2 linked regions of the Caenorhabditis elegans genome follow. The protein of the gene in region 2 interacts with the protein of the main gene of each other region in a pairwise test. Each region holds a gene or a part of one and is shown on either strand. Other genes may lie near its edges.

What was found. Proteins that work in one complex are often made in the same cells at the same time.
Region 1: the proteins of gras-1 (region 2) and icl-1 interact in a two-hybrid assay, tested with the Caenorhabditis elegans proteins (one large-scale study listed by BioGRID).

The regions. Positions count from the first base shown.
Region 1 is NC_003283.11:723,055-729,973, reverse strand, and holds icl-1 (Malate synthase), read left to right. Parts: upstream 1-1,969; 5' UTR 1,970-2,016; coding exon 2,017-2,046; intron 2,047-2,115; coding exon 2,116-2,589; intron 2,590-2,994; coding exon 2,995-3,822; intron 3,823-3,890; coding exon 3,891-5,139; coding exon of another isoform or gene 5,140-5,150; exon of another isoform or gene 5,151-5,191; coding exon 5,192-5,517; 3' UTR 5,518-5,636; downstream 5,637-6,919. Other genes in the region: fbxb-72 (F-box domain-containing protein), read left to right, coding at 6,147-6,214, 6,260-6,919.
Region 2 is NC_003279.8:7,833,127-7,837,827, forward strand, and holds gras-1 (General receptor for phosphoinositides 1-associated scaffold protein 1 homolog), read left to right. Parts: upstream 1-2,681; 5' UTR 2,682-2,700; coding exon 2,701-2,808; intron 2,809-2,859; coding exon 2,860-3,076; intron 3,077-3,125; coding exon 3,126-3,365; intron 3,366-3,413; coding exon 3,414-3,586; 3' UTR 3,587-3,841; downstream 3,842-4,701. Other genes in the region: F30F8.1 (RING-type domain-containing protein), read right to left, coding at 13-117, 162-299, 344-571, 618-819, 868-1,058, 1,107-1,421, 1,466-1,642, 1,688-1,939 and 2 more; F30F8.9 (Letm1 RBD domain-containing protein), read left to right, coding at 3,938-4,014, 4,102-4,223, 4,478-4,593.

The DNA of each region.
Region 1 (6,919 bases), on a different chromosome or scaffold from region 2:
AAATTTTAAATTCTAAAAGGTATAAATTTTACAACAAAAAAATCGATGAAAATTAATTTTTCTAACCATTTTGACAGCACTTTCACATTAAAAAAAAATTGGCGGGAATTTCAAGTTTTAGGTTGTTCCAAATTTTTTGGCGGTGAATTAATATTCTATTTTTCGATTAACTTAATTTCACAACAAAAAAAAATTGGAGAAAGTTATATCTTTAACTTTTCTACAAAATTCAGCGCTAAATTTAAAATTTTGATTTTTAAAAAATAAAGTTTCCGGAAATTAAAATATTCCTAACTAGCCTAAAGCCTAAAGCCTAAAGCCTAAAGCCTAAAACCTAAAGTTTAAGACAGGGCTAAAGTTTCATGTAAAAAATGGGTTGAAAATTAACATCTTTAATCTAGATTTCTTGTTGTAAAAAGTGTTCATTATATTTTCTGGCACCGCAAATTCCAAATAATTTTTGACCTTCCACTTCTCTTGTCAAACAACTTCAACCACATGTGTTCTGACTCCTTATCACCAAGATCATTGATTAGTGCACATATACATCTCACATCATAGATACTTTTCTTTTTTGGATCAAAGAAGCTTCAGCCCCGCCACTTCACAGATCATATGGTTACAACAAAGAGATAAAGAGATAAGTCAGGAGTCCGCAGAGAAACTAAGAACCAAACACGCGATATTCGGGTTGTCCACCGTCGGCTGTTTTTGTTGCAGTGGTGAATTGGGGATGTGTGTAAGAAAAAAATTATTTGGAAAAAGACCAACATCGTGGCGCGGTGAAGGTGCTTTGGTGTCTTCTTTTTGAATAGTGCAATTATTTGAAAAATAAGACCAAAGTATTGTTTTCAAACAGGTTATGCAATAGTTTATAGTTAAAAGAAAACCTGAATTTGACAGATATTTCAAAACTGGCGGGGATAGCCGGTCTTAGTGGCCGCTAGCAACGAGTTCAAGCCCTGACACCCTCTAGGATCACCCAGTCTTAAATGGAGCAATCTGAATTCTCCGTGGCTCGAACCTAAATCCCAGAGAGAGCTCCACCAGGAATGTTGTACAGAAATTCAGCGATGCATAAGACTTGAAGAACGGGTTTTATTTGACTTGAATTTAAAATAAAATATAGGTTTTCAGTTAAGTTTTGTAGCCTTTTTGGGAAATTCTGAACATATTTTAAAACTTTAAAACTCCCCGCTACTCCAAAAAAATATCCTATCAATGTTGTTTTCTTACGAAAAATAACTGATTCCAGTGGGATTTTGTTTGTTTGCCCTTTCATTATATGTAATTGTTTACTCAACTTTTTCCTGATTATTTAGTATTATTTAACATAAATAGTCTGGCAATATGAAGAAGTAAGCTTTACAAATTTGAAAAACCAAAATTTACCATTTTGTAAAATTTTTCAAGTCACGGTTACAGCCAAATAATTAAGTGAAAAATTACAAAAAAATTATTATGTACATTAAAACTGCAAATTGGGTGCAATTCTAGACTAATAAAAAATATATAAATGCCCTAAAAATTTCATATCTTAATTTTTTCTGGTTGATTTATTTTGACTTTCATTTTTTGTAATTTAAAATAGACTTACAATTTTGTAATTCTGATAGAAAAACCAAGTTTTTTCTAAAATATTAACAGTTAGCACCCAGCATTTCAAATTTCAAAAAAACTGCATTATTGACAAACATCTCCCATATACCTAAACATTTTCAAAAAGCGTACTTCATCAACGATCAACCATCATATCAAGCTGCCAAAAAGACACACAAAAAAAGCGTAAACAAAATAATTGACTGTTCTCTCTGCACCTCTGCGTCTCTTTCTATCTATTCATCAATTGTCTCTCTCTCCTAATGATATCACACACTGCCTCGACTCCGCCCCCTATAGTTTCGGACCCTTATCGCTCTGCGTCTCGTCGGGCAGAGTATAAAAGCCGGGTCCCGGGAGGTGTGCCGACTTTAGTTCCCTCACAAGAACTAAGCTTATTATACAAAGACACACACAATGAGTTCTGCGGCTAAAAATTTTTATCAGGTATGTTGGTTTATTTTTTTATAATTTGAAATTTAATATATGAAATTTTTAAAATTTAAATTATTTCAGGTAGTCAAATCGGCTCCAAAAGGCCGCTTCAAGGGCATCAAACGTGACTATACCGTCGAAGATGTGCTCAAACTCCGAGGCTCCATCGACATTGACTACACCCTTGCCACACGTGGAGCCAACAAACTCTGGCAACTATTGCACACTGAGCCATTTGTGCCGGCTCTCGGAGCCCAGACTGGAAACCAAGCAGTTCAGATGGTCAGAGCCGGATTGAAGGCTATCTACTTGTCCGGATGGCAGGTGGCTGCCGACGCAAACTCCGCTGGAGACATGTACCCCGATCAGTCTTTATATCCAGCAAACTCTGGCCCGGAATTGGCGAAGAGAATCAACAGATCTTTAAGAAGAGCAGACCAGATTGAAGCCTGTGAAGCCGAGGACTACCTCGCCCAACGTGATTGGTACGCGCCAATCGTTGCCGATGCAGAAGCCGGATTCGGTGGAGCCCTGAATTGCTTCGAGTTGATGAAGGTAGGCATGCAACACTAACAGTTGCTCTTCACTGACCACTGGACACTTTTGGGGGTGAGAGAGATAAGAGTGGCAGTTGGCATTGCCGGTGTGTAGCTTTGTTGTGTAAAAGTGTATAGTTTCAAATGATTTCAACGCGGGCGTCTAAAGGAAACGGGACGGGGAGTGTGTAGGGAACAAAGAATGTCCAGTGGTCCTGGTCCTTTGACCTATTCAGTTTTCCAAAATCGGTACATACGAAGTTCCATGTGTTCCTTTCTTCTCTTTTTATCACCCCCATTTCATCGCAGCGCTCACTTCTCGGTCAACAAACATCTTTCTTCTCTATTTTTCTCCACCCAACAATGATTAGAATGATTAGATAACGCTATCAAAAACAACAAAAATGATCGTTGGTTGTTTTAGGCCTATATCGAAGCCGGTGCGGCAGGAGTTCACTACGAAGATCAGCTTGGATCGGAGAAAAAATGTGGTCATATGGGAGGAAAAGTCTTGATCCCAACCGCCCAACACATTCGTCACTTGAATGCGTCTCGTTTGGCTGCTGATGTCTGCGGAGTTCCTACAATCATTGTCGCAAGAACCGACGCAGAGTCCTCTAGACTTTTGACATCTGACATTGATCCAAGAGATCATCCATACATTGACTACGAGGCTGGAAGAACGATTGAAGGATTCTACAGACTCAAGGATTCCACTGCAATTCAGTATTGTATCGATCGTGCCATCCAATATGCTCCATACACCGATCTCATCTGGATGGAGACCTCTCACCCAACGATCGCCGACGCCCGTGAATTCGCTGAAGGTGTCCACAAGCAGTACCCAGACAAGATGTTCGCCTACAACTGCTCTCCATCCTTCAACTGGAAGAAGCATCTGTCCCCATCGCAGATGGAGAAGTTCCAGAAGGAGTTGGGAGCTATGGGATTCAAATATCAGTTTATCACGCTTGCCGGATACCATGCCAACAGTTATAGCATGTTTGACTTGGCCAGAAACTACAAGGAGAAGGGTATGCTCGCCTATTCCGGGCTCCAGGAAGGAGAGTTTGCTGCTGAGAAGCATGGATATACGGCAGTAAAGCATCAGAGAGAAGTGGGAACCGGATACTTCGACGCTGTCAGTCGTGCGGTTACCGGAGGACTCTCTTCGACTACTGCCTTGTCAGGATCCACTGAAGAAGCTCAATTCCAGACTGCTGTTGCTTCGCAGGATGAGGAAATCCTTTCGGTACGTTTTATTCAGACCTGCATATTAAGGCAAGAATTAGAAGAAAAAATAACTAAACAAAATTTCAGCTCACCGCCCAAAACGTTGCTGGAGACGAGAAGATCCTCACACCAGATGCTCTTCGCTTCCTCCACGACCTCAACACCGAATTCAACCCTCGCCGTTTGAGACTTCTCTCCAAGCGCAACCAAGTTCAGGCTGATATCAACAACTCCCTCTGGTTCCCAGATTTCAACAAGGAGACCGAGGTGCTCCGTAGTGATCAAGGATGGAAGGGAGCCGAGATTCCAAGGGATTTGCAAGATCGTAGAGTTGAGATCACTGGACCAACCGATCGTAAGATGGTTATTAATGCTATGAACTCTGGAGCCAATGTATTTATGGCTGACTTCGAAGATTCCAACTCCCCAACATGGAGAAACCAGCTTGAAGGACAGATCAACTTATATGATGCTGTAAGAAATAACATCTCCTACACCCACCCAACTACTAAGAAGGAGTACACACTGAATGAGAAACACGCCGTTCTGAAGGTCCGTCCACGTGGATGGCACCTTCCAGAGAAGCATGTCCTCATCCACAACCAGCCAACTTCAGGATCTCTCTTTGATTTCGGACTCTTCGTTTTCCACAATGCCAAGGCCCTCATCGCCCAGGGCTCCGGTCCATATTTCTATCTTCCAAAGCTTCAAAGCGCCGAGGAGGCTCAACTCTGGGCTGACGTTTTCAAGTACACCGAGGACAAGCTAGGCCTCGCCCGTGGAACCATCAAGTGTACCGTGCTCATTGAGCATTTGCTCGCCAGCTTCCAACTCCACGAGATCATCCATGCCCTCAAGGACAACATTGTCGGACTCAACTGCGGACGTTGGGATTACATCTTCTCCTACATCAAGACGTTCCAGAACCATCGCAAGTTCCTTCTCCCAGACCGATTCCAAATTGGAATGACCGCTCCATTCATGAGAAACTACTCCTTGGAAGTCATCAAGGCCTGCCATCTCCGTGGTATCCATGCCATGGGAGGTATGGCTGCCCAGATTCCAATCAAGCACGACCAGGTCGCCAATGACAAGGCATTTGCCCTAGTCAGAGCTGACAAGGAACGAGAGGCCACTGACGGACACGATGGAACATGGGTTGCTCATCCAGGATTGGTGCCATTGGCTAAGAGAGTTTTCGATCAAATGATGCCAAAGCCAAACCAGATCAGCAAGAATCTCACCCGCGCCAATTGCACCAAGGAAGACCTCACTGTGATCCCAGAGGGAACCCGCACTGAAGCTGGATTCCGCCATAATATCTCTGTAACTCTTGGTGAGCCTTAAAAAATATTTTTGAACATTTTTGAAATTGGAATTAATTTCAGGATACCTCGACTCTTGGCTCAGAGGAACCGGATGCGTGCCACTCTACAACTTGATGGAGGACGCTGCCACCGCCGAAATCTCGCGTGCTCAGCTCTGGCAATGGCTCCATCATGATGCTAAGCTTGAGGACGGTCGCACTATTGACGCCGGACTTGTCAAGCAAACGATTGCCGCCGAGACCGAGCGTCGTCTCATCCGAGCCGGATCAGTTGTCAACCGAATCCCAGAGGCTGCCGACTTGCTCGAGAAGTTTGTCACCGAGGAGAAGATGAGCGACTTCTTGACCACCGACGCTTACGACAGGCTTGTCTCTGAAGGATATTAGGAAATTTTTTTAAATTTGAATTACTTATTTGTATACTTCTCTCCATGATTTTCGTTGCACCTACTGGTTTTCTTGTACATTCTGCCGTTAATTATAAATCTCTTCAGTAAAATTTTGTCATGTCCGTGTTGTGTTCAAAAAGTCCACGAATTCCAGACTTTCCCACGATTTGAGACTTTACCTCATATCCGTGTCACTTCATTTTTTCACACAAAAAAAGCACGTAGTGAATCACTTGAAAAAAAAATCTTGAATTTTCTCTGGTTCTCTGGTCTATGCGTAAGTCTCAAAAGTTTGAGATAAAAAGGTGACATCTATGAAGCGTGAAAATTGAAGCTGCAGAGTCATAAAGTACGAAGCGATGTTTTGTTACATAAGCTACATATGTTTTCTATCTAAAACTTATGTTTCATTATTCAACAATCAAATTGTTTCAACTGTTTGTGTTCGTGTTCCGCTGCAAACACATATAGCAAACTGTAAATTGCAATATAGATGCTCTACAGGTGGCCTGCTGCCTCCACACACCTATCGACTCAAATTAGTACATCTGCGCAACGACTCGCCATTCAAATAGTCGATAATCTTACGTCAGTTGTCCATTCCCTCTCATTTCTTATTTAGCACAAATGAATATTCTCCGACTACCCACAAAAGCACTTCGCTGCACACTTCAACACTGGCCGCTTCTAGAAATGTAAGTTATTTAACTAAAAACAAAACCAAATGTGAACAATTTCAGATTAACATTTTCGTTGTTTTCAAAAAAGACGAAAAATCTTTCTAAATCTCTGCATCGAAGCGCCTTATCGATTTCTGTGAATGTTGAAGAGTTGATTGAACTCAAAATTCAAATCGCTCGGCGTGATACAATCAACTTCATCTTTTACACAAGCAGATATAGAGCCAATCCCTACTATGACCCCAATGCGGGAGTTGTGTTAATTGATAATCCAGATGAATATATAGGAATCGTGGATACAACTAAAAACAGTCGGATTTGGATGCACTTTCCGAATATGGGAATACGAGATTTTGTTGATCACTTTTTCGATGTCTTGAGTCTTTCAAAACTTGATGAATTTTCCATATCTAAGGACAACTACTGCACTCAAGAGTTTTGTGATGAGTTCAAGGAACTCGACGTTCAAACTTTTGTGAGCCCCTTACAAATGGACAACTCTTCGTTCTACCAGAAGATCATAAGAATGTTTTCGAGTAGAAGTAAAAGGCTTGACTTCGGTCTTCCCACATTCCCATTTAAAACTCATACAGCTCAAGAGTTCATGTTTCAAAATTTCAATTTCTTCCAAATCTTGTACAAATGCAGTCTTGTAGAGGTTCTCTCCATAAACAGTACTCTAATATATGGTGAAGACCTTATTGGCGTGAATCAGTTGAA
Region 2 (4,701 bases):
CTGCCTTTTTACCTCAAAGTTGCTTGCTTTGGACACTTCGAAAGACCCCAACAATGCTTTCTTGATGACAATGTCCGCTTTGATGCTCTGCGAGTGGAATGTCACATCAGCAGTTCCCTAAATTGATTGGTGATACATTTTTGTGGTTCTCAGAAACTCACAGTTTGCTTGAAAACGGCATCATCCACCAAGAAGGCATCCTCTGGGAATGTGCTCCTCTTGGTGTTCATTTCCGTTATCACCGTGATTTGATCAACACGGAACTTGCGGTCTTCGAACGATGCTTGGAAAATCACAATCTGAATAATTGTTAATCTGGTTTTGAACAACACAAAATTCCTACATCAAGTTGCTTATCCCAGCAAGTGTACTTCTTCAAAGCAATTCGAGCCGATCCACTGATAACGTCCATCAATCCAAGTGAATCATTCCAAATGAACCAACTTCTCTCGCTTGTCTGATCTTCGCGCCCAATTGGATGAACAAGCATTCCACGTCCTTTAATACTGATTTTGTTTGGAGCAGGAAGCTTTGCAGAAATGATACAATTTGGATGCCCAAAGAAACGAAACTGAAATTTCAATGTTTGAAAATTAAAATTTCGTATTATAACTAACTCCTCCATATTCGCCTGGATTAATGACCATGAAGTAGACATAATCTTTTGTATCTGCGCGGGTGTCCGGAATTCTAATATGACCGAGACGTGATGAGTACACGTGAAGCATTTTGGGATCCGATTGACTATCTCTCTGGATCATTCCCTCTGCTAAGAAGGGATACGTTGCCTTGAACTTGGTGCGTACATTGCTCTCAAAGCTAAAAAATCGTGTTCTATTAAAATAATAATTCATTAGGACAACTCACTAAGCGTCTGTAACATTTTTCAGCTCTGTGTTATCCATATTGATAAGAATATCTGTCGCCAAATTGCAGTACTCTGTTTGGTTCATTTGTTGAAATGCTTGGACGGTAGACGAGGAAGATGTACCACCTTGTTGACCAGTTTCTGATGATTCCCATAGAGTACCCATTGAATTCGGAATGACACGAGAATTCTAAAAAATGAATTTAATTTAAATCCCATTTTCTTAATTTTTTTAAACCATTTGCTGTTGATCAAACTGATTTGATGTTCCTTGATTCATACTAAGTTCATTCAACTCTCGCCGGAGAAGTTCTTCCCTCTCTTGGGAACGTAGACGAGCAGTTAATTCAGTGAACATGTTAGGAAAAACCGTTTGACCCGGAAGATATGGAAGATCAATGTTTTCAATACTCTTTCCGCTGGCAATGAATGGTATTGTTTTATTTGGATCGATGACGTCATTGTTTTGAGAAATGTTAATAGCAGCATCATTTGACTCAGAAAGCCATGTACTTTGTTCAATTTGTTCTGCTGGAATCAATACACTTGGACGCTGCAACTAAAAAATTTTGAGAGAACTGCAAAGCTCTAATTTACCGGGAACTGATGACGCTGGACCATTTCAAAAACCCCATCGAGATCAGCGTTCAACTCGGAAGACGGAACTTCACCCTGATTGTTGGCTCCATGATGAATATTTAAGTTGTTCACTTCTCTTATAATTTCAGCTGGAGCTTCATCCACTTTAGGCTGAACTGAACCGAGTTTGCGTGTCTGTCAATAAAATTCATTAAACGGGAATTAAAAGTTAAAACCAACCAGGACAGGAATTGATTGAGATGAAAGACGACGTTGTGATGAAGCTGCCAAAGTGGAACTGGAAGGAACAAGCGCAGTATCTAAGGCTGGGACAGATTCGGAATTCGACAATTCTTGGATTGGGAGAAGCCTTTGTGTGAACGAGTTTCTCACTCCAGCAACTTGACTACTAGTGGGCACCTCTGACGATGTAAATGATTGAATTTCCTGTCGAAGAGATTGAGGTGGTACTTCACTTGAGCGAACCATGTTCTGGAAACATATTTTATCAATCAGAATATGAAAACAAAGTAAAACCGTTTGCGCGATTTGCTGAGGAACAGAAGTACTGGTTGGTAGAACTGCTTCACCAGAGAGTACAGGTGGAGGAAGCGGCTGGGATAAATCTGAAAATCGACTTGAAACTTAGGTCATTAAAAGTTTCCACAAACCTCTCTGATTACCAGCGAGATATCGCTGAGGATTCATACAGAAATTCCTCGTAAACTCATTTACTTGTGCTATATATTCAGCATAAGAATCATTCATCGCGAATGATCCTTATTTTGACAAAAATCAAGGGAATTTTCACAAAAGTAGGAAAAGTATTTAGGAACGAGTTTTCGAAAGCTGAAATTTCGAAAGCGTGTCATGTGTTTGCGTGTTTCAGTAAATACCGTAACCTTCATATATTTCAACAACAAATAAGAAAAGGTGCGCACGCGCTAGTCATTTGTTTGGTCTTTTAGTCGTTTATTTTTTTGCATGATGATTGTGTTTTAGTCACTTTTTACTTAAGTTTAATAATTTTATATGCTTTCTTCTAAAGTTATTACCGAATTTCCCATTATAAACTTTGCGCGTCGAATCTGGCGCTTGCGTACATGTTTCTCGTCTCTAGCTTTTCCTTTCATCTTCTCACCAATTTTACAACTTATCGACTTTGTTTCGAGTCTTGTGTTGTTTAAACATTTAAAAAACTCTAAAAACATGTTTTTTTGTTTAATATATGTTATTTCAGAGTTTCTGCTTTTATGGATCACATCGACGCTCATAGTGCGGTTTCCACGAGTTCGAGCTCTTCAAAATATGATACGCCGGATGACAATATTTCTGAACAGCGACTATTGTGTGACGCAAAAGTAATTATTTGATTCTCCATTGAAGAACAACCATAATATTCGTTACTACAGGAAGAATATCCACTGAATGATTATCTTTTCGATGGGATCAATCAAGAATCCGCACAACGGAGCCTTCTTCTATGTCGTCAAACATTTGAAACTTCCTTTGGCTTTGCTCTCCAATCATATGTATTCAAAAGAACATCTTCAAACAGTTACGAAAGAATAACTTATGTGGATTACGTGTCGGCTGATAGCCCAGCTGATCGCTGCGGGATAACACGAGGTATTCAATCATTTAATTCAGCTTTTCCTGCCAACTACTGCAATTTTAGGCGACATGGTCATTGCTGTCAATGAAAAAAGCGTCGTCACTGCCTCCCATGCAGAAATCGTCGAATCAATTGCTCAGTGTCTTCAAGTCAGTCTCGTTCTGGTCTTCAAAGATGTAGCAAGAATCGTGGAATTGAGCATGCGGTCGATTCAGTTACGATTCATGCTCGATGCAAAAATTAGAGAATTGAGGATGCTCGAAAAGACGGAAGAAGATTTGCAAGCATTATATGACGATGAACGTAAGTCGAGTTTACGGTTATTATTTTGATTATTTGTAACAATTTTAGATGGCAATGAGGAGGAAGACGAATCACTTGAAAGCACGCTTTACGAACTTGATGAGGAGCTAAAAAATGTACAAAATCCACAAGAAAAGGAAGCAAACGGCACTGATTATCGCCATCTCATTCGCATCAACAGTAGCACGTCTGTTGGAACTCCCCAAGTCACGCGTCTCTAGTAAAATCAATGTCTTTCATATTTTCACGTTTATCTCTGAACACTCATGGGTAAACATGTATACTCTAATTATATATTTCGATCCCTGGTACATAGTTGTACATATATGTATTTTAACTTCCTGTCTCCGCCCAAAATTTGCCATTTTATTCCCATTCCAGTCATTTTGATTCCCACAAACCTGTGATCATGGTTATGATTCTAGCCTGCCTGTTATACTATTAGTTTCAGGAAATAACATGAAGTTTTATCTACTATTCCTGACACAATTATTTCAATTATCCATGAGGTTCTGTGCCTTTTCTACTTTTTCGTTTGTTTTTCCTTGACAAAACTACTTTTTTTCAAACAGATGCACTCATTGTCAAGGATTCTTCTTCATCGCAGTAACAGTGTGCTCAATTCGCCTACTTTTCTTGTTGCTGTTAGGTAGACCTTTTCATCATTAAAACCTGTTTTATTCTGAGTATCCGTTAAATTCAATATTATCCCTCTAAAAAATGTGTTCTACTTCAGACAAACATCAGCCGGTCCACCTCCAGCCACTCCAGCTAAAGAAGGATCCTTGACCTACAAGTATGAACAATTTATTGGAAAATGGCCTAAAGTGTTGGCACTTCACAGGACTGTTCTTGAAGGTGAGGGAGTTCTCCGATTAACTTACTTACTTTTGAAATTCAAAAATGACATTTTCTGATCTTTTTTATTTTTATTCAGAGATCTTGACATGCTCTCTTAAAGTCGCACGGATTTATTCAGATGGGTCTCGGCGCAAAGTTTATGGCAACTTAAACTTCGCCCCGTGACTCATCTGAATAAATCCGTACACCTTCATGAAGGAATGCCAAAATCGTGTAAGATTACAATATCATCTTGTGAATCATATATTCAGGCTCTCGATGGTGCTTTGCCGATGTGAAAATGTATTTCAAGACGAAACGAGCTGTGGCTACCGGTCAGAAGAAGCTCACAGATCTCAGCGTTGAGGAATTGGAGACACTTGTTCAGGTAGAAATAAACTACGGAAAAGGGTCTATTCGTTGTTCTTTTTCTTCATGAATAGACTCAAATTCTCCCTTTTTGTTTTTATTTTCTATTACAAGGATAGTCAAAATA